Linked DNA regions of Stegostoma tigrinum. The protein of the gene in region 1 purifies or fractionates together with the protein of each later gene. This does not show direct contact. Links are inferred from orthologs where the notes say so. Each region holds a gene or a part of one and is shown in the gene's direction. Other genes may lie near its edges. The genes, in order: kpna2, kifc1, polr3c and mta2.

What was found.
Region 2: the proteins of kpna2 (region 1) and kifc1 purify together in Homo sapiens (co-immunoprecipitation; 4 studies listed by BioGRID and IntAct, with this or other methods). This does not show direct contact. The link is inferred for Stegostoma tigrinum from reciprocal best matches to the Homo sapiens genes KPNA2 and KIFC1.
Region 3: the proteins of kpna2 (region 1) and polr3c purify together in Homo sapiens (co-immunoprecipitation; 3 studies listed by BioGRID and IntAct, with this or other methods). This does not show direct contact. The link is inferred for Stegostoma tigrinum from reciprocal best matches to the Homo sapiens genes KPNA2 and POLR3C.
Region 4: the proteins of kpna2 (region 1) and mta2 purify together in Homo sapiens (affinity purification with mass spectrometry; 4 studies listed by BioGRID and IntAct, with this or other methods). This does not show direct contact. The link is inferred for Stegostoma tigrinum from reciprocal best matches to the Homo sapiens genes KPNA2 and MTA2.

What each region holds. Positions count from the first base shown.
Region 1 is NC_081375.1:10,522,332-10,530,056, forward strand, and holds the start of kpna2 (importin subunit alpha-1), read left to right. Parts: upstream 1-4,717; 5' UTR 4,718-4,808; intron 4,809-4,814; exon of another isoform or gene 4,815-4,955; intron 4,956-5,194; 5' UTR 5,195-5,222; coding exon 5,223-5,294; intron 5,295-5,395; coding exon 5,396-5,533; intron 5,534-5,619; coding exon 5,620-5,702; intron 5,703-6,994; coding exon 6,995-7,263; intron 7,264-7,725.
Region 2 is NC_081387.1:28,152,333-28,159,355, reverse strand, and holds the start of kifc1 (kinesin-like protein KIFC1), read left to right. Parts: upstream 1-4,009; 5' UTR 4,010-4,083; intron 4,084-7,023. UniProt on the Homo sapiens protein: Minus end-directed microtubule-dependent motor required for bipolar spindle formation. May contribute to movement of early endocytic vesicles. Regulates cilium formation and structure.
Region 3 is NC_081400.1:582,311-589,788, reverse strand, and holds the start of polr3c (DNA-directed RNA polymerase III subunit RPC3), read left to right. Parts: upstream 1-4,460; 5' UTR 4,461-4,562; intron 4,563-5,124; 5' UTR 5,125-5,157; coding exon 5,158-5,304; intron 5,305-5,641; coding exon 5,642-5,897; intron 5,898-6,488; coding exon 6,489-6,674; intron 6,675-7,478. Other genes in the region: rnf115a (E3 ubiquitin-protein ligase RNF115), read right to left, coding at 4,233-4,310. UniProt on the Homo sapiens protein: DNA-dependent RNA polymerase catalyzes the transcription of DNA into RNA using the four ribonucleoside triphosphates as substrates.
Region 4 is NC_081395.1:3,146,365-3,154,085, forward strand, and holds the start of mta2 (metastasis-associated protein MTA2), read left to right. Parts: upstream 1-4,711; 5' UTR 4,712-4,795; coding exon 4,796-4,823; intron 4,824-7,721. UniProt on the Homo sapiens protein: May function as a transcriptional coregulator. Acts as a component of the histone deacetylase NuRD complex which participates in the remodeling of chromatin.

The sequences.
Region 1 (7,725 bases):
TGTTAAGAGCTTAGGTGGTGAGGAATTTGTTAAATGTATTCAAGAAAATTTTCTTTATAAAAATGTAGATGTACTTACGAGAGAAGGTGCAAACCTTGATCTTCTCTTGGGAAATAAGGCAGAACAAGAGACTGATGTGTTTCTGGGGGAGCAGTTTGGGACCAGTGATCATAATTCTTGAACTTCCAGAAGTTGATTGGAATAGACTATTTGCAAGTAAAGGGATGACTAGTAAATGGGAGACTTTCAGAAGTGAGATTATGAGAGTTCAGAGGCATTATGTTCTTGTTAGATTGAAGGGTAAGGCTGGTAACAATGGATGAATAAAGATATCAAGGCTTTGGTCAAGAATAAGAGGAAATCATATATTGGGTATAGACAACTGGGATCTAGAATCTCTTGAAGAATATAAGGGGTGTTGGGGCATTCTTGAGAGAGAAATCTGGAGGGCAAAAAGAGAGATGAGATAACATGAGATAACTTTGGCAGATAAGATTAAGGTTAATCCAAAGAGATTCTACAAGTACATTAAGAGCAAAAGAGCAGCTACTGAGAGAATAGGGTCCCTTAAAAATCATTGAGGTCATCTATGTGTTGAACCACAGGAGATGGGAGAGATAATAAATGTGTCAGTTTTTACTGTGGAGAAAGACATGGAGGCTTGGGAAATAAATTTTGATGTCTTGAAAACAATCCATATTGTGGAAGAGGAGGTGCTGGGGGTCTTAAAAAAAACACAAAGATGGATAAATCTCCAGGCCTGATGAAGTATATCTCAGGACATTTTGGGAAGTTAGGGAAGAAATTACAGGGCCCCTAGTATAGATATTTATATCATCTGCAGCCAAGGATAAGATGCCAGAGGACGAGATGGTGGCTAATGTTGTGCCTTTATTTCAGAAAGGCTGTAAGGAGAAGCCTGGGAACTATAGATTGGTAAGTCAGATATCAGTGGTGGGCAAGTTTTTGGAGGGGATTCTGAGAGATAGGATTTACATGCATTTGGACTAGGATAGATCGTTCTGTTCAAGATCTGAGATCATAGATTCCCTACAGTGTAGAAGCAGGCCATTCAGTCCATAAAGTCCACACTAATCCTCTGAAGAGCATCCCACCTAGACCGAGCCCGTACCCTATCACGAAATTTCCTTCCCCAGACATCATGGGCTATTTAGCATTGCCAATCCACCTAACCTGCACATCTTTGGACTGTGGGAGGAAACCCACACAAACACAGGGAAAATGTGCAAACCCCGCATGGACAGTCACCCAAGGCTGGAATTGAACCCAGGTCCCTGGTACTGTGAGGCCACCATGCTGATAGTTCCGTTCAAGATTAGGAATGGTTCTGATCAAAACTATTCAAGATGGCAGCAGTGGATAAGCACTGTCTGGGATTTTGTGCCCAGATCTCATCCATTCTGCCAGCTTTCCTTTTTCTGTTTTTATCTTCTTTTCTCTTTTTTTAAGTAGTTTCTTAATTACCTTTTGGATGCTGTGGAGGCAGCGGCAGCAAAAGAACATGCCAGTGGCTGGGCCCCAATGTGACAGTGAGACAACAATTGGCAGCTAGCGGCAAAGGATGGTGGCAGCAGTGATGTGGTGGTTGCGGCCAAAGCCTTGTGAGTGCTGATGAAGCCTGATGTGCCTGGGCAGGTCTTGGCCCAGCACAGCGTAAGCATTCCCAGCGCTAGGGAGAGTGATGTGTCTTGGGGAAAGCCCAGCTTTAAGCATCTGTAGGCCCATAGCTTAAGACTGTAATGCTTGACATTTTAACTTTATTTTTCTATTTTTCAACATTTATGCTAAGTGCACTGTAGTGCTGAACTTTTTAAACTTATTACTTTATATTTCTATTTCTGTAACTAAAATTTTGTACCTAAGTACTTTGTACATAAGATGGCACCATATGTGGTGACGTTGTACACTTTTCACTGTGCTCTTGTGCCATGTACTTGAGTACACATGACAATAAAACCTAAATCTAGATCTAAAATCAATTGTTTGTCATTTATATAAACTATTTGGATGAGAATTTAGGAGGCATATTTAGTAAGTTTGTGGATGACACCAAAGTTGGTAGTGAAGAAGATTATCTAAGAATACAAAGGTTCTTGATCAATTGGGCCAATGGCTTGAGCAGTGGCAGATGGAGTAAAATTTGAATAAATATTATTGCATTTTGATAAAACAAACACAGGCAGCACTTATACACAGGCAGCACTTATACAGTTAATGATATGGCCCGGAGTAGTGTTTTCGAACAGAGAGACTTAGGGATCTAAGGATTAAAGTTCTTTGAAATTTGCATCACATGTAGAAATGATGGTTAAAAAGGTGTTTAGAATGCTTGCATTCATTGTTCAGACCACTGAGTATATCATGCTGAGGTTGTACAGGGTTTTGGTGATTTGATTTGATTTATTATTGTCACATGTACCTTGGTGCAGTGAAAAGTTTTGTTTTGTGTGTAGTACAGGCAGATCATATCATACAAAGTGTATAAGGGTAATAGAACAGAACAAGGAATACAATGTTATGCTCAGAGAAGATACACAAAGAACACGATTAACATTAAATTTAAAATTTGAGAGATCCATTCAGAAATTTAACAACAGTGGCGAAGAAGACATAGTAAGAACTGCTGATGCTTGAGTCTGAGATAACATAGTATGGAGCTGGAAAAACCTGAAGATTTCTGAAGAAAGCTCCTGACCCGAAATGTTAGCTTTCCTACTCCTCTGATGCTGCTTTGCCTGCTGTGTTCTTCCAGCTTCACACTATGTTAATAGTGGGGAAGAAGCTGTTCTTGAATCTGTTGGTTCATATGTTTAAGCTTTTGTACCTTCTGCCTGATAGAAGAGGTTGGAAAAGAGTATAACTGGGGTGGGCTTTGATTATGTTGGCTGCCCTCCCGAAACAGTGTGAAGTATAGATAGAGTCAATGGATGGAAGGTTGGCTTGCACGATGTTCTGAGCTGTGTCACAACTCTCTGTAGTTTCTTCTAGTTCTGGGCAGAGCAGTTGCCATACCAAGCCATGATGCATCCAGATAGAATGCTTTCTATGTTTCATCTTTAAAAATTGGCAAGAGCCTTTATAGACATGCCAAGTTTCCATAGCATCCTGAGGAAGAAGAGGCATTGTTGTGCTTTCTTGACTGTTGTATCAACATGGATTGTTGGTGATTGCCACGCCTCGGAACTTCACTCTTGGCTATCCCTAACTCAGCACGATTAATGTAGATAGGGGAGTGTCCTCCACCTTGTTTCCTGAAATCAATGACCAGCTCTTTCATTTTTCTAATGTGAAGGGAAAGATTGTTATCTTCACACCATGCTACCAAGCACTGTGTCTCTTTCCTGTATTCTGTCTTGTCATTGTTTGAGATCCAACCTATAGTGGTGGTGTTGTCAGCAAACTTGTTGATGGAGTTAGGATGAAATTTGGCCACGCAGTCACAAGTGTACAGGAATTATATTAAGATGCTAAGGCATGTTTTTGGAGGACTGTCTACAGTACTGGACTTCCTTCTATAGGAAGAATATTGTTAAATTGGAGATGGTTGAGAAAAGATTTGCCAGGATAGATGAGGTGAATAGCAAAGGTCTTTTCCCTGGGGTGGTGGAGTTCAAAACTGGGAGGAAATTTTAAGGTGAGAGGAGAAAGATTTAAAAGGAACCTGAGAGGCAACTTTTTCATACAGAGGGCGTTTTGTATGTGGAATGAACTACCAGAGGAAGTGGTTGTTGCAGGTATAGTTACAACATTTAAAAGACATTTGGACAGGTACGTGAATAGGAAAGGGTTAGAGGGACATGGGCCAAATGCAGGCAAGTAGGACTAGCTTAGTTTGGGAAATGCGGTATGCGTGGGTGAGTTGGACTGAAAGGTCTGTTTCTGTGCTGTTTGACTCTATGACTCAATAACTGTTATGGACTGTCCTACACTGGTGTGTAGCAGTATGACAATGAGCTACACTTGAGGCCATTGTTCCTTGCACTGAATGAGAAAAACAGGGTATTGTTAGTGATATATTTCCACATCTCTCATATGTATGGCAACAAGTGCCACAGCCCCACCTCATGCCCCCAGAGTTATTACACGTTGACCCTGTGCCAAACTATTCTTTAAATGTTTTGCCAGGAACTGGTCTCTCAGGAAGTTTTGGTGGGGTTGTGGTTAATAGTAGGACCAAGATATGAAAATCAACTTCAAGGAGAATCACTCAGTGTGAGGTTGCCACTGGTAGTGGGGGAATGGGGAAGGACCAAGCACAGACTCCTTTGCCGTAAAAGTTCGAAGGCACAGGACATAAAACTATGTTATCCTGTATGAATTACTGAGCGGTCAACCACACATAACTTGAGAGGTTTTCCGAAGACGTTGCAAAAGAGACAAAGACGTGACTTTAGTGAGTGTTTCCAGCAATTTTTATTCCTAAATCAGCAGTATTTTTAATACCACGTGGAAGAACAAAAGAGTAAAGAGGAAGTAATGTTTCGAGCTCCTTTAACGCGCAAAACAACAAAAGACCGCGCCAGAGACGGCGCTATGCACGGAGTAGTATTTTTAATATCCTTTACTTGATTGGCTGCGCGGTTGGTATGGGAATCCATCCAACCGCATCCTCAGCTTCTTTCAAATCAGCCAATTGAAATATTGCTTTGAATCGAATGAACCAATGGGAGCCGGGCAACTCAGCCGGTTTAAATAGCTGGAGCGGCTTCCAAGCTTGCATTTCTGTTGGTAATAGTGTTTTACTAGCGGAAGGTTATAAGTTGTAAACGGCTTGCTTTAATATTGCAGTTAAGTGCACTTTGTAAATCTTGTGATTAGTTCAACTGCTGTTCTCGTTTAATAGCGATAAGTTTTTTTTCCTTTTCACGACTAATTAAATTCCAGTAACCTTAACGGAAAATCTCCCCTTTAAATCTTTGTCTCAGCTTCCGCAAGTATGTAAGACTTGTTCATCTTTCGCTGTAAATGACTTTTGTCTAAACAGGCAATTAATCTAAATGCTGAAACGTAATTGTTGCTAACTTTTTAATCTGGATGCAGTGTAATTTTTTTAAAAAGAACAAAATTGTTAATTTTTCTACGTTGTAGCATCTTTCCAAAGTGTCTAAAAATCTTCCCCGCCTGTCGAAGCACGCTTTCTGTGACTAACTCTTGTCTACTTTGTTTCGTACAGTTTTTGCCAAGTTAATTCAAGTTGAAATATGTCAACCACGGCCAACGAGAACGCCTTCAGCCGCCTGATCAAGTTTAAGAACAAGGGGAAAGATGCTAATGTAAGATGGTATTATTTTAAGCTTTTTCGTAACTTTTATCATCGCCATCAATACATGGCCTAATTTTGGTTCCATTTTCCCTCTCCACTCCTTTTTAAAAGGAGTTGAGACGCAGGAGAATTGAAACCAATGTTGAGCTGCGGAAAGCTAAAAAAGACGACCAGCTGTTTAAAAGGAGGAACGTGAACAATTTTCCTGATGAGAATGTATCTCCACTTCAAGAAAAGAACAATATCCAGGTACTGTATTCTCGAAGGAATCCTGTTTTAAAATTCATGACTTGCTTTTTGGCTACTAAAAACTTTGCTGTTTTCATGAAAATCAGGTGCCTTTGAATTTGGATGAAATAATCCAAGGTATCCAGAGTAATAATTTGGAAACTCAACTCCAAGCAACTCAGGCTGCCAGGTAAGAATGGGTGTCTCCCATTGTAGTTAGAAATTTTAAATGTAAAATACCTTGAGTCTTTTGAAAGTAATGCAGAGAATTCAAGCACCAGTTATGGGACACTGGGATATGTTTAAAGGAACCAGTCCATGTCTGTCTGCAATCGCGATACTGGGAGTAAAAATACTTGTATCTTGTCACTTCAGGACTATATTTGAGTGGGTTTTTTGTGTAATAGTGCTATACTAATTTTTTTCAAACTGGCTGTTGGAGTTTTAAAAAATGGATTTGCCAATTTTGGAGGGAATGATATTTCACTAGTGATTTTGGAGTCTATTTTTGGTTCACGTGGCCAGTGTTCGGTCAAAATGAGGCTGTCTAGCACTACCTCCTTCATGTAATAACTGAGCCCTGATCTGATTCCTGCATATGTTTGGGTTTCACTAAAACTTGAGGCTTCGTTTTGCCCATTTCTATCTTTTGTAACACTGACTCTAGTTCCAGACTCCAACTTTGCACCCTATCTTATGCCTTGTTTATATACTGCTCAGGTTGCACCTCAGCCTGTGCTCTTGTGAAAAATCTTTTGTCTAATCCCTTGCTAAAGCTAATGTATTCCGATCCAGCCAGCATCAGGTAAAAGTGATAATGGGAACTGCAGATGCTGGAGAATCGTCAGCTTTTGTGCTCCTGAGGTGCTGCTTGGCCTGATGTGTTCATCCAGCTTCACACTTTATTATCTTGGGAACTGCAAATGCTGGAGAATCCATTATCACTGATACAATTTTAACCTCACTGCAAAGCCTCTTCCAGGGATGCCTAACCTGAAGTAGTTACCCTCCTCCCTCTGGAGGATGAAGGGTCTAGGCCTGAAACGTCAGCTTTTGTGCTCCTGAGATGCTGCTTGGCCTGCTATGTTCATCCAGCTCCACACTTTATTATCTAGTATCAGGTAAAATCTTTTTTGCACCTTCAAAACTTCCACATCTTTCCTATAGAGTATCAGAACTGCACAAATACCATTTTAGGTCATGCAAGATGCTCTCCAACCTACAATTGACAAAATTGACTTTTCACCAGCTAATTGGTAAGGTAGTCCAATTGTATAAAGTTCTTTATCTTAAACAATTGTTAATAATGAGGGATAATACCTAGGATTTTTTGGACCAAAATTTTAAGAACTGATTTTAGTCTTTTCTGTGCTCTTTCTGGCCAGAGGGTTGATTTCACAACCATTCTGTTGGTGTTTACATTGTATTACAAGTCAGACAATAGTTGTCAGTACACTTTTTTAAGCTGCTTTTTCTTTTCAGGAAGCTGCTTTCTAGGGAGAAACATCCTCCCATTGACAAAATTATTCAAGCTGGGCTCATCCCCAGATTTGTGGGATTTCTTGCTACTTTTAATTGTAGCCCCATCCAGTTTGAAGCTGCATGGGCCCTCACCAACATAGCGTCTGGAACATCTGATCAGACTAAGGCTGTTGTTGATGGTGGTGCAATACCAGCATTCATCAATCTGTTGGCATCTCCACATCCACATATCAGTGAACAAGCAGTATGGGCTTTAGGAAACATTGCAGGTAACTAACTACTTTTTAAATATAGAAATGTTCGTTCTTTGCAAAATGGAGCATGTAAATTGGCTGACTGTTGCCCTAGTAGAACAGCTAGTAGAAATTAACGTTTTTTAAAAAAAAACTAATTAATGTAATGTGGAAATCACTGGCTATATGGCACTTTATTCTTTCCTCCTGCCTTTCCCCTAACACCCTTGGACATGGCAGTGTACAGCCTTCAATGACTGAAGTCTCTAATCACCTAGTGTTAGAAAGATAGTTTTTCAGGGTTTTGATTCAACAATCGAGCTTAAACTCTGGGTAGTATGCCTTGAAGAACTCTTAAGGGTTATGGAGAAGGGCAAAACTGCTCAGCAGGTTCAAATTCTAAATTGGGGTAAGCCTTAATTCTATGAAAATTTGAGGAGCTTTCATGGATTGACTTTTGAGTAGTTTGCAGACAAAGGGACTCCTGGCAAGTGGGAG
Region 2 (7,023 bases), on another chromosome or scaffold:
GTCACTGGAAATAGTTAGAATTGCCAGAGGCTTCGCTATCCTATTCAAATTGTTGCCTTCACTCTCTGAATCTGGCCAGTCTCCCATTGGCAGTACCATTGGATTCTATATATATAATACGTATATACGGTAGAGACCTGCTGGGTGGTGTCTGGAAAGAAGCGATATCACAGCAGCGTACTCACACTTCTGATTTAGGAACCGGAGTAAGCCATTTGGCCCATGAGCCGGATCCCTATGAGATCCCAGCTGATCTGATTGTTATTGACTCCACAATCCCACTTACTCTAAGTATATTTGAGCACCCCCCCCACTTCCCCCACTTACCAAGAATCTATCCACCTCTTTTTCAGAGACTTTCTTTACTCACCCATGGAATGTCGGTGTTGCTGGCTGGGCCAGTATTTTTGCCCAGAGGGCAGTTAAGAATTAACCACGATGCTGTGGGTCTGGAGTCACGTGTAGACCAGGCCAGGTAAGGATGGAAGTTTCCTTCCCTAAACAACATGAGTGAACCAGATGAGTTTTTCCCGACATTAGACAATGGTCGTTGTTGGACTCTTCATTCTAGATTCTTTATTGAATTCAAATTCCACCATCTGCCACGGTGGGATTCGAACCTGGGACCCCAGAACATTATCTGAGTTTCAATGTTGTGAGAAGCCTCCAGGGCTCTGGAACTGGGACCTTCTGACCGTGCGCACTCTGAGGTGGAAAACGGATAGCTGCAGTGAAAATGGCTATCAGTCACACGTCCGTTGTGTGCGAGTTGCTGGGGATTCTCGCTCGTGCCCCTTTCAGTGCTGTGAAAGCGTTCTTGTAGTGGGGCGGCGGTGTCCCTACTTTGAGCCAGGAGGCCCACTTGCTCTGGAGGTGAGCACTAACACATCTGAAAGGGCTGATGAGAAATCTTTTCAGTCCGAGCAGTTGTGACTGTCACTGTGTCAGGTGGTGCACATTTGCAGTGTGTAACTGTAGAAGGATTGGCTCCTGTTCTACCCTTCAGCAGCTGGTGGTGACCATCTCTCACCTGCATGACACTGGGTGAAGAATACTCAATGAAAGATCAGGTGTATATCACAGTAAGTCTATCATTTCATGACAGTTGGCTCAGCGGTTAGCACTGCTGCCAAACGGGGCCAGGGACCTGGGTTCGATTCCATTCTCAGGCGACGGTCTGCGTGGAGTTTGCATGTTCTCCCCGTGTCTGCTTGGGTTTCCTTTCATTTCCTCCCACAGTCCAAACGTGGACAGGTTAGGGTGGGATTGGCCGTGGTAAATTACCATTAGTGCCCAGGGATGTGCGGGTTAGGGTGGATTGGCCGTGCTAAATTGTCCCATAGTGCCCAGGGATGTGCAGGTTAGGGTGGATTGGCCGTGCTAAATTGTCCCGTAGTGCCCAGGGATGTGCAGGTTAGGGTGGGATTGGCCGTGCTAAATTGTCCCGTAGTGCCCAGGGATGTGCAGGTTAGGGTGGGATTGGCCGTGCTAAATTGTTCCGTAGTGCCCAGGGATGTGCGGGTTAGGGTGGATTGGCCGTGCTAAATTGTCCCGTAGTGCCCAGGGATGTGCGGGTTAGGGTGGGATTGGCCGTGCTAAATTGTCCCGTAGTGCCCAGGGATGTGCAGGTTAGGGTGGGATTGGCCGTGCTAAATTGTCCCGTAGTGCCCAGGGATGTGCGGGTTAGGGTGGATTGGCCGTGCTAAATTGTCCCGTAGTGCCCAGGGATGTGCGGGTTAGGGTGGGATTGGCCGTGCTAAATTGTTCCGTAGTGCCCAGGGATGTGCAGGTTAGGGTGGACTGGCCGTGCTAAATTGTTCCATAGTGCCCAGGGATGTCCAGGTTAGGGTGGATTGGCCGTGCTAAATTGTCCCATAGTGCCCAGGGATGTGTGGGTTAGGGTGGATTGTCCGTGCTAAATTGTCCCATAGTGCCCAGGGATGTGCGGGTTAGGGTGGGTTGGCCGTGCTAAATTGTCCCATAGTGCCCAGGGATGTGAGGGTTAGGGTGGGATTGTCCGTGCTAAATTGTCCCATAGTGCCCAGTGATGTGCAGGTTAGGGTGGGATTGTCCGTGCTAAATTGTCCCATAGTGCCCAGGGATGTGCAGGTTAGGGTGGGATTGGCCGTGCTAAATTGTCCCATAGTGCCCAGGGATGTGCGGGTTAGGGTGGGTTGGCCATGCTAAATTGTCCCATAGTGCCCAGGGATGTGCGGGTTAGGGTGGGATTGGCCGTGCTAAATTGTCCCATAGTGCCCAGGGATGTGCAGGTTAGGGTGGATTGGCCGTGCTAAATTGTCCCGTAGTGCCCAGGGATGTGCGGGTTAGGGTGGGTTGGCCGTGCTAAATTGTCCCATAGTGCCCAGGGATGTGCGGGTTAGGGTGGATTGGCCGTGCTAAATTGTCCCATAGTGCCCAGGGATGTGCAGGTTAGGGTGGATTGGCCGTGCTAAATTGTCCCGTAGTGCCCAGGGATGTGCGGGTCAGGGTGGGTTGGCCGTGCTAAATTGTCCCGTAGTGCCCGGGGATGTGCAGGTTGGGATGGATTGGCCATGGAAATGTGGGGTTATGGGGATAGGCTGGGGGGATGGGGATGGGTGGGATGCTGTTTGGAGGGTCAGTGCAGACTAGTTGAGTTGAATGGCCTCTTTATGCGCTGTAGGGGTTGAATCCAATCTGGCTGCTGCACACATGGTTCTTTCAAAGATATTTCCTGTTGATGAGGAAAAAACTTTTTGGAAAACAACTCCAGTACGATGGCGACAGAATGTTGGTGCAGTTCATTCAGGCACCAAGGACCAGCGCTGTACACTGTGTTTACATGATCCCCATGTAGTGTTTACAAAACCATGGGGTTTCCTGGTATCGTGGGTAGTGCCCCTGGCTCTGAGCTAGAAGCCCTGTCTTCGAGTCCCACTCTGCTAACTAAGGGAGCATGATTTTCTGTCTGTAAACTCCTCCCAGCTCACACCACGGGATAGAACCCAATAAATTCCTGCTCAGCCAGTTACAGGCAACTCTTGGCAGTTCCCAGCAGAGGGGAGGAAGGGTCTGAGGGGCTGAGTGCTGGAGCCTTCACATCGATTTACCCCTTAATAGGAACATCTTAGAAGGAGAAGGCACTATGTACAGGCTACTCTGTCCCAGGAATGTTTAATAGGGACATTGACAAGACAGCCTTATTTTCAGCTTAAAACAGTGGAGAGAATTTTACTTTCAGTTTAACAGTGTAGAGGGAGCTTCACTCTGCATTTAACCACTTGCTGTCTCACTCCTGGGTATGAGGGGGACAGTGTAAAGGAAGCTTCACTCTGTATCTAACCCTCCTGGGAGTGTTTGATGGGGGACAGTGTAGAGGAAGCTTTACTCTGTATCTAAGCCCGTACTGACCCGTCCTGGGGGTGTTTGATGGGGGACAGTGTAGAGGAAGCTTTACTCTGTATCTAACCCCATTCTGTCCCATCCTGGGAGGGTTTGATGGGGGACAGTGTAGAGGAAGCTTTACTCTGTCTCTAACCTCGTCCTGTCCCTGTCCTGTCAGTGTTTGATGGGGGACAGTGTAGAGGTAGCTTTACTCTGTCTCTAATCTCGTCCTGTCCCTGTCCTGTCAGTGTTTGATGGGGGACAGTGTAGAGGGAGCTTTAGCGTCAGTTTGAATGAGTAGAGGGAGTCTGAGAGGAGTAGCTACTGAGGCTGCTGAAGAGTTAGGGACAGGGTTATTTGGTAAGTGACTCCCTCTGGTATGAATGGACAAAGAGAAGGATTTTTCAAAGGGGTGAAACATTGAACTGTTAAGGGTGTTCTGATACAGGGATCACAGAAAGGTGGCCTGTAATCAGGATGGTGACAATGCAGGGGTGCTTTCAGGAATCTGTTCCCCCAGATCAGAGATTGTACAGAGACACGTAGCTCTCGGGAGGGAGCTCAACGCAAATTTAATTGGATGTAGTCTGGAACCACTCATGAACTAAACCATCAGATTCTGTCTGCAGAACCCAGGAGAGTGAGCCTCAGTCTGAATAGAAAGCTGTCTCATTTTCGGGAGCCTGTATACAGTTTGAATCAACCATTTCTGAAGTACAGGTAGCAGTTTTAATCCAGTCTTGGTCTTTAATGGGTAGGTCCTCAGTGACAAAACCAATGTTCCCAATGGCAGAACATTCAAAGTGCGGCATTTTAATGACTCAAGTTTGTGAATAGGTCCGGAGCTCAGAATGCTGCGTTGTCCTGGAGACCGGCCTCAGTTCCCAGGCATAGCTACTGGCTTTCTGTCTTCAGTCTTGAATTGGTCCCAGGGTGGCCAGCGATTCTCATCCATTCCCAGGGAACAGGACTCCCATCTCCAACATGTTCCAGTCCAACTCATTCACACACACACACACACACACACACATGCGCACACACACACACATGCGCACACACACACACATGCGCACAAACTCTGTCTCTCTCACACAGACACACACACATTCTCACACATGCACATGCACACATACCTCTCTCTCACACACACAAACTTTCTCTCTCACACACACACACACACTCACAGACACAGACAGACACACATACACAGAAGAAAACCGCGCACACTCACATAAGTGCAGATACTCAGATACTCGCACAAGCACACTGAAACATACAGACACATGCACAAACAGATACAGACACACGCAGAGACAGACTCACAGATACTCACAGACAAAGACACATACACAGATTCAGATGCTCAGACACACAAACACACACACACACACACACACACACACACGAGCAGACACTGTGACAGACACACATACTCACAGAGGTACAGATACTTACAGAATCAGATTCAGAGATACTCACCGAGGTGTAGAGTCTCAGAGACACACAAACAGATTGTTACACAGGTTAAGACACACAGACAGAAACACATACAGAGGTACAGACATTCAGGATCAGAAACACACAGACACACACATACATACATATACAGACACTCACACAGGTACAGACCCTTATAAGGACAGACATACTGATGCTCACGGACAGTGACAAATAGAGATATACACTCTCAAAGATACACACATACAGAGTTACACAGTGCCAATACACAGACAGAAACACACAGTGCTGACAAAGACTGACACGCACAGTCACAAACACACACACACAAGCCAGTTGACGGTTGACACATAATCACACAGGGAATGGTCTTTGCCATCTAAAACATTGTAAATCCTTCAGTCCGGAGCACTACCATTTGGGAATATTTGGCATCCACAAATGTTTTGAATTGAGTCTTGCATCTTTTCAGTGTAGGTTCCCTGGGAGCAGGAACAGGTAGAGGTACAGGAAAAGGTTTTAAATACTGGTCTATAATCTGACTGTCTGAAAGCTTCAGGTAATATAGATACCGGTGGTGCGTCCCACTCTCCACCTTGCCATTGAGCATCGCAGCACCCTCCGATCACTGAGGAAAGTGGTTCAGTGCCAGGTACTGACTCGGAGGCTGTGTCAGCGCTGTGCCGGGGTGAGAAAGGGCTGGAGACCGTACCCTGTTGCACAGGTACCAGTTACAGCTCGATCACCTCCTCCTCCTCCGGCTGTTCGGACAGGTAGCTGGCCAGGTCCCTGAGGAAGTTGAGGACGGCTCTCCAGTTGGTGATGTACCAGATCTTGTAGATTACCTCGAGTGAGAGAACCACCAGCAGCAACACTAACAGGCACAGGAAGACCCGGTCAGCACACAATATCACCCTATGTTTGAGGCTCAGGTTTTCAGGAGCAGGGCTCGGCTCAGGCTTGGTCTTCCTGTTAGTCTTGTGGTCATCCTCAGACTCCTCAGAAATGGGGTCTTCGACATTCTCTTTCTTTTCCATTGGCCTGGCACCCTTCGCCAGCCCAACCTGAGCTTCAATCTGTCGGCGAGGTGTGGGGAGATGGGTCTGCTGCCTCTCAGATTGCCAGCAGGATGAGCAGGGGATTGACCTGGAGCTTCTCCTTGATACACTTCACAGAGTCAGCACGCTTTAAAAAGCCAGCTTAGAGTCATTAACCAGGATCATCCTGTCCTCTTCAATATGGCGTGTGGTGGGGGCGGGCGAACTGCAGCTATGACACCGCGGGCTTGTTGTTGTTGTATTGTCATGGCAATATGTGTGTTTCTTACTGTACCGAGGGCTGTGGAACTGGCGAGGTCTGCTGTTGGTGATGGGCCAAGTTGTTGTTGCAGTAGTGGTGCTGCCTTGTTAAGAGAGCCAGGTTGTTGTACCGAGGGTTGCTATAGCCCCGGGTTGTTGTTGTAGTGAAGGGGTAGTTGTTGTATTTTGTAGGGCCGGGTTTTTGTTGCAGTGTCAGTTTGTTGCTGCAGTAGCGCAGGGTTGTTGCTGTAGTGCTGGGTCACTATGGTAATGCAGGGTTGTTGTTGTAGTGCTGGGTCACTATGGTAATGCAGGGTTGTTGCTGTAGTGCTGGGTCACTATGGTAATGCAGGGTTGTTGCTGTAGTGCTGGGTCACTATGGTAATGCAGGGTTGTTGCTGTAGTGCTGGGTCACTATGGTAATGCAGGGTTGTTGTTGTAGTGCTGGGTCACTATGGTAATGCAGGGTTGTTGTTGTAGTGCTGGGTCACTATGGTAATGCAGGGTTGTTGTTGTAGTGCTGGGTCACTATGGTAATGCAGGGTTGTTGCTGTAGTGCTGTGTCACTATGGTAATGCAGGGTTGTTGTTGTAGTGCTGGGTCACTATGGTAATGCAGGGTTGTTGCTGTAGTGCTGTGTCACTATGGTAACGCAGGGTTGTTGTTGTAGTGCTGGGTCACTATGGTAATGCAGGGTTGTTGTTGTAGTGCTGGGTCACTATGGTAACGCAGGGTTGTTGCTGTAGTGCTGGGTCACTATGGTAATGCAGGGTTGTTGCTGTAGTGCTGGGTCACTATGGTAATGCAGGGTTGTTGCTGTAGTGCTGGGTCACTATGGTAATGCAGGGTTGTTGCTGTAGTGCTGGGTCACTATGGTAACGCAGGGTTGTTGTTGTAGTGCTGT
Region 3 (7,478 bases), on another chromosome or scaffold:
CTAACTCGAAGCAATGGGTATCAGGGGAAAACTCTCTGCTGGTTGGAGTCAAACCTGGCACACAAGAAGATGGTTGTGGTTGTTGGAGGTCAGTCAACTCAGCTCCAAGACACCTCTGCAGGAGTTCTCCAGGGTAGTGTCCTAAGCCCAAATATCTTCAGCTATTTCAACAATGACCTCCCCTCCATCATGAGGTTAGAAGTGGGGATGTTCAGCACCATTCATGACTACTCAGATACTTAAGCAGTCCATGTTGAAATGCATCAAGTTCTGGATAATATCCAAGCTTGTGCTGACAAGTAGCAAATAACATTTACATCACACAAATGCCAGATAATGACCGTCTCAAATAGGAGACAATCTGCTCACAACCTTGCCATTCGATGACATTAACATCACTGAATGCCATGCAGTCAACATCCTGGGGTTATCATTGAACAGAAATTGAACTGGACCAGCATTATAAATTCTGCAACTATAAGAGCAGGTCAGAGACTAGAAATCTTCCAGTGAATAACTCACCTCCCAATTCCCCAAAACCTGTCCACTATCTACAAGGCATAAGTCAAGAGTGTGATGGAATATCCCCACTTTCCAGAATTCGTGCAACTCCAACAGCACTTAAGAAGTTTGACACCATCCAGGACAAAGCAGCACCTCTGAGTGGCACTACATCCACAAGCATCCACTGAGAATAGCAGCAGCAGTGTGTACTACCTACAAGATGCACTGCAGATATTCAACAAAGATCTTTAGACAGTACCTTCCAAACCCATGACCACTTCCATTGAGGAGGGCAAGGGTAGCAGATACATGGGGTCACCACCATCTGCAAATTTTCCTCCAAACTACACACCATCCTGACTTGGAAATATATCATTGTTCCTTCACTGTCACTGGGTCAAAATCCTGGAATTCCTACTCTGAGGACACTATGGATCAACCTACAGCACACGCACTGCAACAGTTCAAGATGGCAGTTCACCATCACCTTCTAGAAACAATAAAATGCATCCACAGTAACGTTACAAATGCAAATTTATACTTAGGGACTGAAGGAAAACCAGAAATTATATAGATTCTGATTTGAAGAGGTGTTTTACCCCAAGATTTCTTGGAAATGATGTTAGTGATTTTATGGCCTGCTGTTTTCAGACGACAAGTGACTTTGCAGAAAAGACCAGCAATGTTTTGAGCGACATGAGAAATGGTTTATGACCTTTGTTTGCTGGAATAACCAGGCTTGACAAAATTTTGGGAGCTCTCTGCCATTGGCGGCTTATCAATCCTTTCTGGACTTAGTTTTCGGTTTTTCAGACTGAAGTGGTCAATAGAAAGTAACCCAAGATTCTATAAGTCTCTCCCTATTTCTTTCAGCAGAGTTGGCCTGAGAGCCTAATCAAGTTTCAACATACAGATATTTCTATCTTACAAACCCCGGAAGGCTGAACTGTGACCAGTTTCCAAAGACTTGGTTCCACCTTGGTTTCAAACTGAACTGAAAATCTTCTATCAGATAACAACTGAGTCCAATTTGAATTCAGAGACAGGAAATTCAGTGGAAATTATTAAATCTTGTAGGCTGCTCATCAATAAAATGGAAGGAATCAAACTAAGATGAACCTCAGCAAAAGCAAAATAAAAACAGTAACACTAACACATTGAATACATCTGAGGTGACTTGGACAGAGAGACCAATTAATAATTTTAAAGATACTAAGAGTGCTGGATTAACATCAGCAGAGATACAGTCACTGACACAGGGCGCTGGGGAAAACAGTTTAATTTTATTCACCTATTGGATGTGGGTGTTGCTGACTCGCCCATCATTTGTTGCCCATCCCTAGTTGCCCTTGAGAAGTGTTGGATGAGCTGTCTTCTTAAGCTGCTACAGATAGACCCACAATGCTGTTAGGGAGGGAGTTCCAGGACTTTGACCCAGTGACAGTGAAAATCAGTGATATATTTACAAGCGAGGATGGTAAGTGGCTTGGAGCAGAGCTTGCAGACGGTGTTGGTGTTTCCACGTTGTCTGCTGCCCTTGTCCCTGGGGAGTTACTTGCAGCAGTATTCCTAGTCTCTGACCTGCTCTTCTAGCCACAGTGTTTATATGGCAAATCCAGCTGAGTTTCTGGCCAATGATAACTCTCAGTATGTTGACAGCAGGGGATTCAGTGATGGAAATGCCAAGGGGCAGTGGGCAGATTGTCTCTCATTGCTTGGCATTTATGTGGCGTGATCATTATCTGCCACTTTTCTGCTCAAGCCTGGATATTGTCCAGGTCTTGCTGCATTTGGACACAGACTGTTTCGGGGTGAGGGGTTACTGAGTGACAAATGGTGCTCAACATTGCACAAGCATTGGTTAATGTCCCCACTCTGACCTTATGATGAAGGGAAGGCCATTGATGAAGTCACTGAAGCTTGTTGGACCTAGGACACTACCCGGCGGAATTGTTACTGAGTGACTGTAACTGGATTATTATCAGTACAGATAGAATCAGGAACACCAAGCGCTGGGGAAGTGGGAGGTGGACCACTTTTGATGGAGATACAGTCAGTTACATTTTTAATGCTGGGAAGAAGAAGGGTTACGGAATGACAATGCAAGGGAGTTTGATGATATCAGAAGAGATGCAGTCAGTAACATGGGTTCGGGGGGAGATGGGTTACTGGTTGACAGTGTGAAGGACCTTCTGACATCAAAACAGATAGTTAGAAACTAGAATTTTAAGAGCATATCGATTTAACATCATTATTATTTAAACTCATTCATATTTTTAACATCCAGAATTACAGCCTGTTCCACATTCCATAAGCATCACTGTTTAAGGCAGTCCAAGCATTTAGTCAGTCTCCACAATACAGTCACCATCAAATTTTGCACAATTATTCAGACCACTACTGAGTTGCTCACTGAGTAATTTGATGTACCCATCCTATTACAAGGGCCATAATCAACACAACCATCACACTCAACCCTTGCAAAAGCAAACATAACTCTGGGCCAATGTTTGAACGCAAGAACATAATTCATTGGAGGAAAGCCTTGGCTAGGACTCGCTTTGCACCAGGAGGAATAAAATGTATTTGAAGACTGTCAGCTCTGGACTGGGAGGAGATGGGAGATGGAGGTCTCCATGGAGATGGTCACCATGGGATGGGGGAGATTAATCTCCAATGATGACCATGGTATGGAGAGCTCAGTCTCCATGGCGACTGTGGGAGGGGTAAGGGGAACAGACAGTCACCACAATGAGCACTGAGGGATGGTTCAGTCTCCATGGTGACCCTGGGAATGTCGGGGGCGCGTGTTCAGTCCCCATGGGATGTAGCGGGGTGTTAAGTCTCCTTCAGTCTTCAGTGGTGGGGGGAATCAGTCTCCATGGTGACCATGGGAATGATGGGATCAGTCTCCAGGGTGACCATGGCGGGGTTGGGGGGGGGATCAGTCTCCATGGTGACCATGGGGATGGGAGAAATCAGTCTCCATGGTGACTATGGAGGGTTGGGGGATCAGTCTCCATGGTGACCATGGAGAGCTGGGGGGTCAGCCTCCATGGTGGGCTGGGGGATCAGTCTCCATGGTGACCATGGAGGGCTGGGGGGAATCAGTCTCCATGGTGACCATGGTGGGGTTGGGGGTATCAGTTTCCATAGTGACCACGGAGATGGGGGGAATCAGTCTCCATGGTGACCATGGGGGATTGGGGGGATCAGTCTCCATGGTGACCATGGGGATGGGGGATCAGTCTCCATGGTGACCATGGGGGGGTGGGGGGGATCAGTGTCCATGGTGACCATGGGGATGGGGGATCAGTCTCCATGGTGACCATGGGGGGGTGGGGGGGGATCAGTGTCCATGGTGACCATGGGGATGGGGGATCAGTCTCCATGGTGACCATGGGGGGGTGGGGGGGATCAGTGTCCATGGTGACCATGGGGATGGGGGATCAGTCTCCATGGTGACCATGGGGGGGTGGGGGGGGATCAGTGTCCATGGTGACCATGGGGATGGGGGATCAGTCTCCATGGTGACCATGGGGGGGGGTGGGGGGATCAGTCTCCATGGTGACCATGAGGAGCGGCGGATTGGGTTAAGATTGCGGAGTATCCCCCTCCCCCTCCTGAGGCTCGGGTTGACTGATAGTGATTCCTCCCCGGTGAAGACCAGCAGTTTCCCGGAGCAAGGGGGACGAGGCAGTATACGCTGGGCTCGGGGCCTGTCTTACCGGTAGCTTGGGGCACACCTCTCCCTTGCAGCAGTGACAGAAGAAGCGAAGCGGAGACACAGCCGCCGCCTCCGCCATCTTATCCGCTGACGTCAGCGCCCTCCCGGAAAGCCCCGAGCTACCCGGAAGTGGACTCTGGAATTTATGAGGTTGGGGGCACGCCGCCATCTTGGTGCGGGGCACAAACCGGATGTTCCTGCGGTATCGGGTCAGTAGGAACCAAAGTATCCGGAACATAAAGACCATCACTACCGGAAAGGGACCGTGAGGAAGTGGGGGCTTTGGTCCCAGGAGGGAAATAGAAGGAGGGAGAGCACTTCGTAGATTGCAGTGAGTTTTAGCTTTAGTAAAGCTTCGGCTACACGATGTCCCCTCACCCCCCGTCCCCCCATCAAACACTCCCAGGGACAGGGACAGCACGGGGTTAGATGCAGAGTAAAGCTCCCTCTACACTGTCCCCCATCAAACACCCCTAGGGACAGGGACAGCACGGGGTTAGATGCAGAGTGAAGCTCCCTCCATCCTGTTCCTGTCGGCTGTCTGAATGTCACTAGCCCACTTCGTATGAAAATACTGTGATGCTGGGAGTCTGCAATGAAAACAGTGAAGTGTTGGAGAAACTCAGCAGCTCCACCGGTAACTGTGGAGACAGAGAAGCAGAGTCACTGTTTCCAGTCCCCTTCAGAACCTGTCAGATTCAGACTGACAGCTTTAACTCTGCTTCTCTCTGCCAGGCACTGCCGGAATTTCTGAGTTTCTGCTGCACTGTCTGTTCCTGTTCCCTTCACATTTTTTCCTGCTGTTTTCTTTTCCTCAGACTGAAGGTATTGTTTTAGCAGTCTCTGACTTCGAAGTTGTTACTGAATTAGTAGTGATTCATGTGGTTTTGCAGGACGGACTCTGATGAGATTGAACCTAATCAGGAATGACACACGTTGAGTCACAGATCTGCTCCTGCTTGCTCCAGGCACACTACGGTGAAATTGTAGCCAAAGTTGGCACCCACCTAATTCGCACAGGATGCCAGCCTCTCCGGCTAATTGCCAAAGATACTGAAACGCCGATTGATCAGGTGTGTGTTTGTGTGGGGTCGGGGGTGGCGGGTGGGTGCTGGTAGAGAGGGGGTGTGGTGGTGCAGTTTGCTGCTAAGGGCTGATGGGAGTTGAAGGAATGGCACCAATCTGAGATAGCTGATCAGACTCTTCCATAGCTAAGAGAAAAGCTTACTATAGCTGGCCACATAAATTTCCAGACTCTGTGTGTGCCATTGACAGGATGAGGAGTGGGACATGGTGAGATCACAGCATGGCTGGAAACTGGGCCTTGGCTAGCAGACGGGTGTCAGTGGTACATGTAGAGGGGAAAGTTTGGTGTACAGGGACCTTGACTGTCGTACTGCAATGTTCCAGGTTAAGAAAGCTCTCTGCGTCTTGATCCACCACAACTTTGCTTCCTATCATGTGCACAAGAGGGGCTTTGTAGAGTATGAAGTGCACTGTGCACACATCATTCGCATCCTGCGATACCCACGCTATATCTACTCAGCTAAGACACTGTACGGAGACACAGGGGAGCTGATTGTGGAGGAACTGCTGCAGAATGGCAAGATGACAATGAGTGCAGTTGTGAAGAAAGTGGCCGACAGGCTGAGAGAAACAATGGAAGGTGAGAGTGCATGAAGGAAGAGATGGAGGCTGCAACTAGCATTCGAATGTAGAGGAGGGGAGGGGAGGGGAAAGAGGATCCTGGCAGGGAGTATATGTGAGTTTGTGACGAAGGAAAGATCAGTAGCAAAGACTATACTGGGATCAGGGTGGGGGTTGCATGTGTACAGACTGAGGGGATGTGTAAGAGGGGGTCTTGTACAGGGGAGGAGTTGTGTATGGTGGGGGGAGGGGGAGCCACATACGGGATGGTGGGAGGAGGTGGTGTGTGTGGTGGGGGCCTGCATACTGTGGGGATGAGGGAGCCCACGTGTGGAGGGGAGGGGGAGTCGTGTACGCTGGGCCTGGGGGGGGAGGGGGAGTTGTGTACGGTGGACAGGGGGTGAGGGGAGGGGAAGTTGCGGACGGTGGGGTTGTGTGGGGGAGGCCGAGTCATGTATGCTGGGGCTGGGAGGGGGGAGGGGGAGTTGTGTACGGTAGGCAGGGGGTGAGGGGGTGGGGTTGTTATTGTTCTGAATGGTGAGCACAGTCTTACTGGCTAATGCTTCATCTGGGTAGTGTTTCTCACGTCCTTGGCTCTTCCTCTGCACAGACAGTAAAACCGGGGAACACAGTGAGACCTCGAATACCTTCATCCGATTGGTGCAGACCCACTTCCTGCAGAAATGTGCCCTGGTCTCTGAGTGTGTGGTTGCTGAAGGCTTGCAGCCCCCTCATGCTCCAACACTGGTCACTGATGAGAAAGAGATGTACACTGTGCCCCATCTCAGTGTTGTTGGTAAGGTGTCACAAACCTGCTCTCTGCTTTCATTCAAGGCTTGTCCAAAGCTGGGAAGCTTTTCCTTCATCAAAAACAGAAATTGCTTGAGAAACCCAATAGGCCTGGCGCCATCTGTGAGGAGAAAGCAGAGTCAGCGCTTGGGGTCCAGTGAACCTTCCTCCGAACCGATAGTAACTGGGAGCAGGTGGTCTGTATGCTGAAGATGGGGGAATGGGGTGGTAGAGTAAGAGAAGGAGTGAGAGGATTGGTGGAGATGGAGCTCTGAGGGACAACGAGATGGCTGATAGTAAACTAGAGAGAAAGAAAAGCTGATAACTGGGTGAGTGATAAGTGAATGAAAATGTTGGCTCTGCTAAAAGCAGCCTTTGCCATGATAGGTCCTGGGGTGTGGGATTTGCTAAAGGACATAGAAACTTATTGAACTCAGTATTGAGTCCTACAGGGTCCCTAAGCAGAAAATGAGGTGTTCTACTTCCAGCTTGTGCTGAGCTTTGCTGGAGCACTGCAGCAAGCCTGACACAGAGATTTCGGCCAGGGAACATGGCAGGGTGGGGAAGCTCAGGGTCACTTTTACAAACAGAATGGAAGACCTCATTGTGAGCAGTGAATACAGTTGACTAGATTGAATGAAGTGCAGTAAATCGCTGCAAGATGTGCCGAGGACTTTGGATAGTGAGAAGCGAGGAAGGAAGCAGATGAGTGTTGCACCTTCTGTGATTGGAGGGGAAGGTGCTGTGGCAGTGTGGTGTGGTGTTGTAGGTGGACCAGGGAGTTGTAGAGAGAAAGGTTCCAGCAGAAGGC
Region 4 (7,721 bases), on another chromosome or scaffold:
GATGGGGTGGGGGTTCGGGTGGAGTTGGGACTGGGTGGGGATATGGGGTAGAGTTGGGACTGGGTGGGGGTGGGAGTAGGACTGAGTGGAGATGTGGGGGTTAATTTGGAACTGGGTGGGGTTGGAGTTGGGATGGGATGGGGATGTGGGATGGGGTTTGGGACTGGATGGAATGGGGGTGAAGTTGGGACTGGGCTGGGTGAGGGGTGTGAGGTGTGAGGTGGGGGTAGAGTTGGGACTGGACCGGGAGATGGGGTGCGGGTGGAGTTGGGACTGGGCTGGGTGAGGGGTGTGAGGTGGGGGTGGAGTTGGCATTGGGTGGGGGTGAGGATGTGGGGTGGAGTTGTGACTGGGTGGGGGTGGGGGTGGGGGTGTGGGGTGGAGTTGGGACCAGGTTGGGATGGGGATGGAGTTGGGACTGAGCTGCGTAAGGGGTGTGAGGTGGGGGTGGAGTGGAACGAGGTGGGGGTGGAGTGGAACTGGGTGGGTGGTGGGGGGTGGAGGTGTGGGGTGGCATTGGGACCAGGTTGGGGTGGGGGTGGAGTTGGGACTGGGTGCGGATTTGGGGTGGGGGTGGAGTTGGGACTGGTTGGGAGTGGGGGTGTGGGGTGGTGTTGGGACTGGTGGGGGTGGGGGTGTGGGGTGGTGTTGGGACTGGTGGGGGTGGGGGTGTGGGGTGGAGTTGGGACCAGGTTGAGGTAGGTGTGGAGTTGGGACTGGTAGGGTGGATGAGGGGTGTGAGGTGGGGGTGGAGTTGGGACTGGGTGGAGGTGTGGGGTGGAGTTGGGACCAGGTTGAGGCAGGGGTAGAGTTGGGACTGGGTGGGGTGGATGAGGGGCATGGGGTGGGTTGGAGTTGGGACTGGCTGAGGTGGATGAGAGGTACGGGGTGAGGGTGGAGTAAGGACTGGGTGGGGGTTGTAGTTGGGGTGACTGGGTGCGGGTGTGGGGTGGCATTGGAACCAGGTTGAGGCGGGGGTAGAGGTGGGACTGGGTGGGGATGGAGTTGGGACTGGGTGGGGGTGGGGTTGTGGGTGGAGTTGGGACCCAGTAGGGGTGGGGGTGGAGTTGGGACAGGGTGGGGGTGAGAGCGTGGGGTGGAGTTGGGACCAGGTAGGGGTGGGGGTGGAGTTGGGACTGGGTGGCGGTGGTAGGTGGGGAGGAGTTGTGACTGGGTGGAGTTGGGCTGGATGGGGATTTGGGGTGGGGATGGAGTTGGGACTCGGTGGGGTGGATGAGGGGTATGGGGTGGGGGTGGAGTTGGGACCAGGGTAGGGTGGATGAGGGGTGTGGGGTGGAGTTTGAACTGGGTGGGGTGGTGGTGGAGTTGGGAGTGGCGTGCGGGTGGAGCTGGGACTGGGTGGGGTGGTGGTGGGGGATATGGTGGGGACAGAATTAGGACTGGGTATGGGTGAGGGTGTGGGGTGGTGTTCGGACGAGGTAGGGTCAGGGTGGAGTTGGGACTGGGTAGGGTGGATGATAGGTGTGGGTGGAGTTGAGACTGGGTGGGGTGGATAAGGTATGTGGGGTGGGGGTGGAGTTGGGACCAGGGTAGGGTGGATGAGGGGTGTGGGTGGAGTTGGGACCAGGGTAGGGTGGATGAGGGGTGTGGGTGGAGTTGGGACTGGGTGGGGTGGATGAGGGGTGTGGAGTGGGGGTGGAGTTGGGACCAGGGTGGGATGGATGAGGGGTGGGGGTGGAGTTGGGACTGGGTGGGGTGGTGAGGTATGTGGGGTGGGGGTGGAGTTGGGATGAGGGGTCTGGGGTGTGGGTGGAGTTGGGACCAGGGTAGGGTGGATGAGGGGTGTGGGGTGGGGGTGGAGTTGGGACTGGGTGGGGTGGATGAGCGGTGTGGAGTGTGGGTGGAGTTGGGACTGGGTGGGGTGGTGAGGGGTGTGGGGTGGGGGTGGAGTTGGGACTGAGTGGGCTGGTTGAGGGATGTGGGGTGGGGGTGGAGTTGGGACTGTGTGGGGTGGATGAGCGGTGGGGGTGTGGGCGGAGTTGGGTCTGGGTGGGGTGGATGAGGGGTGTGGGGTGGGAGGGAGTGGGGACTGGGTGGGGTGGTGAGGGGTGGGGGTGGATTTGGGACTGGGTGGGGTGGAAGAGGGGTGAGGGTGGAGTTGGGACTGGGTGGGGTGGTGAGGGGTGTGGGGTCGGGGTGGAGTTGGGACTGGGTGGGGTGGTGAGGGGTGTGGGGTCGGGGTGGAGTTGGGAGTGGGTGGGTTGGTGAGGGGTGTGGGGTGGGGGTGGAGTTGGGACTGGGTGGGGTGGATGAGGGGTGTGCGGTGGGGCTGGATTTGTGACTGGGTGCAGTTGTGGTGGTGGGGTGGCGTTGGGACTGGGCAGGGTTGATGAGGGGTCTGGGGTGGGGGTGGAGTTGGGACTGAGTGGGCTGGTTGAGGGACGTGGGGAGGGGGTGGAGTTGGGACTGGGTGGGGTGGATGTAGGGTCGGGGTGGAGTTGGGACTAGGTGGGGTGGATGAGGGGCGGGGGTGGAGTTGGGACTGGGTGGGGTGGTGGGGTGGTGAGGGGTGTGGGGTGGGGGTGGAGTTGGGACTGGGTGGGGTGGATGAGGGGCGGGGGTGGAGTTGGGACTGGGTGGGGTGGTGAGGGGTGTGGGGTGGGGGTGGAGTTGGGACTGGGTGGGGTGGATGAGGGGTGTGTCGTGGGGGCGGAGTTGGGACTGGGTGTGGTGGATGAGGGGCGGGGGGTGGAGTTTGGACTGGGTGGGGTGGATGAGGGGTGTGGGGTGGGGGTGGAGTTTGGACTGGGTGGGGTGATGAGAGGTGTGGGGTGGGGGTGGAGTTGGGACTGGGTGGGGTGGATGAGGGGTGTGGGGTGGGGGTGGAGTTAGGACTGGGTGGGGTGGATGAGGGGTGTGTGGTGGGGGTGGAGTTGGGACTGGGTGGGGTGGTGAGGGGTGTGGGTGGAGTTGGAACCAGGGTAGGGTGGATGAGGGGTCTGGGTGGAGTTGCGACTGGGTGCGGTGGTGGTGGTGGGGTGTGTTGGGACTGGGTGGGGTGGATGAGATGTGTGGGGTGGGGGTGGAGTTGCAACTGGGTGGGGTGGATTAGGGATGTGGGGTGGGGGTGGAGTTGGGACTGGGTGGGGTGGATGAGGGGTGTGGGGTGAGGGTGGAGTTGCGACTGGGTGGGGTGGTGGTGGTGGGTTGGAGTTGGGACTTGTGGGGTTGATGAGGGGTCTGGGGGGGTGGAGATGAGACTGGGTGGGGTGGTTGAGGGATGTGGGGTGGGGGTGGTGTTGCGACTGGGTGGGGTGGATGAGGGGTGTGGGGTGGGGGTGGAGTTGGGACTGCGTGGGGTGGATGAGGGGTTTGTGGTGGGGGTGGAGATGGGACTGGGTGGGGTGGATGAGGGGTGTGGGTGGAGTTGGGACTGGGTGGGGTGGATGAGGGGTGTGGGGTGGGGGTGGAGTTGGGACTGCGTGGGGTGGATGAGGGGTGTGGGTGGAGTTGGGACTGGGTGGGGTGGATGAGGGGTGTGGGTGGAGATGGGACTGGGTGGGGTGGATGAGGGGTGTGGGTGGAGATGGGACTGGGTGGGGTAGTGAGGGGTGTGGGGTGGGGGTGGAGTTGGGACTGGGTGGGGTGGGTGAGGGATGTGGGGTGGGGGTGGAGTTAGGACTGGGTGGGGTGGGTGAGGGATGTGAGGTGGGGGTGGAGTTGGGACTGGGTGGGGTCGATGAGGGGTGGGGGTGTAGTTAGGACTGGGTGGGGTGGATGAAGGATGTGGGGTGGGGTGGGTGAGAGGTGGGGTGGAGTTGGGACTGGGTGGGGTCGATGAGGGGTGGGGGTGTAGTTAGGACTGGGTGGGGTGGATGAAGGATGTGGGGTGGGGTGGGTGAGAGGTGGGGTGGAGTTGGGACAGGGTGGGATTGGGAGCCTGGGGTGGAGTTGGGACCAAATAGGGGTGGGGCTGGAGTTGGGACTGAGTGGGGTGGATGAGGGGTGTGGGGTGGGGGTGGTGTTGGGACTGGGACTGGGTGGGGTGGTGAGGGGTGGGGGTGGAGTTGGAACCAGGGTAGGGTGGATGAGGGTGTGTGAGTGGAGTTGCGACTGGGTGCGGTGGTGGTGGGGTGAGTTGGGACTGGGTGGGGTGGATGAGGGGTGTGGGGTGTGGGGTGGGGGTGGAGTTGGGACTGGGTGGGGTGGATGAGGGGTGTGGGTGGAGTTGGGACTGGGTGGGGTAGTTAGGGGTGTGGGGTGGGGGTGGGGTTGGGACTGGGTGGGGTGGAGGGTGGGGAAGAGTGACTCCCGTCGCCGGCCCCGCGCGTGCGTCCTGGTGACAACCGCCAAACGTCCCTCGCGCACATTCCCGCCTCCGCGCCGGCTGCCGCGCGCTCCCCCGACTGCGCGCCGGGCAACGTCACGCCGCCGCGTGCCTGCGCTCACTCCGAGTGCGCACCATCGCGTCACTCTGTCGGGCGCTCGCGCTCACCCCAAGTGCGCACGCTCGCTTCACTCAGGCGCGTGCCCGCGCTTATTCCGTCCGAGCACGTTGCCGCGTGACTGCGCGTTACCTCCCCTCTTCGTCCCCCGCCGCGTGCCCGCGCACTGCCCTCCTCCCCCCCTCCTTCCCTCCCCCGGTAGGGGCTGGCCCGGGAGGGGGAGGGAGGGTTCGCTCTTTCCCCTCGACAGAGAAGGAGGGCCCGGAGTAAGAGGAGGAAGAGACCTCCCTCTCCCTCCGCCCGTCTGCCCGTGTCTGCTCCGGGAGGGAGGGACGGCGATCCGCCAGGGAGAGGAGCTCGGCCTCAGGGAGAGAGACCGGGAGGGCGACATGGCAGCCAACATGTACAGAGTGGGAGGTGAGTGAGTTGAGTGAGTGAGTGAGGGTGGCCGGCCCGGCGCTCAGCCATCGCTGCCTCTCTCTGTGTGTGTCTCACCGGAGGAGGGAGGCTGGGACTGGGGACAGAGAGCCTGAGAAACAACAAAGTGCCAGGCAGCAGCTATAAGCCAAACTTTACAACAAGAGGCAGACATGGAAGAGGAAGACAGCAGCTCGAATCAGTGCACCAAGGTGGCGGGGTGGTGGTTTGGGCTCAGACTACAGCCGGCAAGTAGGGGAGAGGGGCTGAGAGGCCGAGGGGGCATGGGCGGGTGGAGGCAGTTGGGGGAAATGTGGTGGCCAGGGACTTGGGCATGTGGGTTATTGGGAGCCAGGGGCCATGGGGGATGGGCTAGGGGGCCCAAACAGGACCCATGGATAGGGCAATGTGGTGGGTTGGGGGCAATGGCCAGATTGAGGTAGTTGGGGTGAAGGGTCATACAGGGGCTGTGGATGGGCGGGGGTTCGGCAATGGGACAAACAAGGGCAAGGTACAAGCAGGGTAAACAGAAACCAGGGCTAAAAAGCCCACTGGGGCAGAGGCTAGGGTGAGTGGCCAAAATCTGGGGTGAACTGCAAACCGAGGCCCAAAACAGGGGCCAGGTGTTAACAGAGCTTTGGGGGTACAGGTTAGCATGGGATTTGGGGATCAAGGCAATTGGCAAACTGGCACCAGAAATAAGATTACAAGCAACTAGGATTTGGGGGTTGGGATGTTAATTGAATCAGAATTTTAGATTTTGGGTAGTTGGGTGTGAAGGGCAAGCCAGGTCTGAACTGGGACAGGATGGGGCGGGGGAGCTCAGGTAGGGTTTTGGGATCAGGCCAAGGGATAAGTGGTGGCTTAGTGGGTCAAGGATTGGGACACGTGCGGAATTCTTGTTTAGAGATCAGACAAGTGAATGGAGAGGCAATGGACAAGTGGTATTGTCACTGGACTGTTAATCCAGAGACCCTGGATAACATTCCTGGGACCTGGGTTCGAATCCTGCCATGGCAGATGGTGGAATTTGAATTCAGTTAAAAATATCTGGAATTAAGAATCTAACGACCATGAATCCATTGTTGATTGTTGGGAAAACCCATCTAATTCACTAATTTTCTTAAAAGAAGTAAACTGCCAGCCTTACCCGGTCTGGCCTAAATGTGACTCCAGACCCACAACAATGTGGTTGACTCTTAACTGCCCACTGAGCATTTAGGGATAGGCAATAAATACTGCCTGGTCAGTGACACCCTCATCCCATTAACTAATGATAAGAAAAAAGAGTAAAATGTCCAGTGATTATGAGACGGACAAGTCAGTGTTTGGGAATGGGGGCGAGAAGTGATTTCGGAGCTTTGGGATCACAATAAAGGGTGAACATTTGGGGACTGAGGTGAGGGACAAACTGAGGCCAGAGACCAGGGCGAGGGCAGTCCAAGATGAGAGGTGCACTCAAGTTTGGAGGTGGAGGTGATGATTAAGTTGTGGGCTTATGATTAAAGTTAGGAGTAAGTCAGTGTTTAGGGATCAGTGGAGGGCTCTGTGGTCAGGAAACATTAAAAAGAGGGTCAGCATGTAAAGGTGCTGAACAAATATTTGAAATTGAAATAAGGATGGCATAATGACAAAATTTGTATGATAAGCTAAAGAAGGATTTCAAACACAAGAATACTTGCCAAATAAAATTAGGTAATAGTCAAAAAGGGGTTTGGAGGTGGGGGTATGTTGTCAGATTTTTGTAGATTTTGGCAGAAGTTCAGGTTGGGGGAGGGGGTTTGGTGGGCATGTTTAGTTGTATACCTCATTGGGATAGACCTGGCACAAGGAGAGTTGGGTTCTCAGTGATAAGCAGCAATCAGGAAATATGAAATAAAAGCCAGAGATTAGAGGCTAAAACTGACAAATGTATACGTGAAATTCTTACAACATGCGGGCAAGCTGAGGAAAGAGGTGAAACTGCTGGAATGAAAGTCGAGATGAGTCAGGATAGAGGCAACAGCAGTCATTTTGGGGTGGGAATAATAACATACAGTCAGGGATAAAATGGAAGGAAGGAACATTTCAAGGTTTAAAGATCAGTGGATCAAAAAGGCTCTGATGTTGTGTGGAGTAAGAGCTAAAAAGAATCAAGGATGTATCAAGCCAGAGCCATACAACTCCATGACCACTGTGTTTGGGGGTTGGGGAGCATGTGGAGGTGTAGTTTGTAAGTTTTGTGAACTGAGGTTGACTTTTGAAAGGTTCCTGTCTAAAATCCCAGTCAGAAAAACAAGATGCAAATTCTCTGTTCAGAGCAGCTGTGGCCCTAATAATGTACCAAAAATCTCTCTCAACCAACTTGAATCCTGACCAAGTACAAGAGACTGCTGAAGGACCAGGGACAAATCATAGTTGGGGAACTTAAAAATTCACCTGGTATGGACAACTTGTCAAGAAAACTTGTGGTTGGGTCGCGGGTGCTTCTGAGTCGAGGGGATGTTTGTGGTTTTACAGAGTGAAGAAGATACAAAATTTTGATGGCCTCACTGCCCATGAGAGGGAATCGGAAAATTAAGGAGCGACTGGCTTTTGACTGTGACAGGATGCCAAAGGTGGGGGCATGTATAGAGTCTCGAACAGCTGTGTGTCTTTGCAGTCTATTAGCCTTGATGTGGGCTGGGGGTGTTTCTTTCAGTACATGCTGGCGACGTGCTCTGCATGTTCACGGACCCGGCTGACTTACGGAGGATGCGCAAGTGCCAGAGGTCTACCCTGTGGCATCGTCCTCGGCAAGTATCAACTGGAGTAAATTTTAGGGACCTTTGGTCGCTCACTGGCAGGTGGACTCCCTCTAAAGGAGCTCTGGTACTTCGTGTGCGATACCATTCAGCCTCTCTACCTGGGAGTCCATCT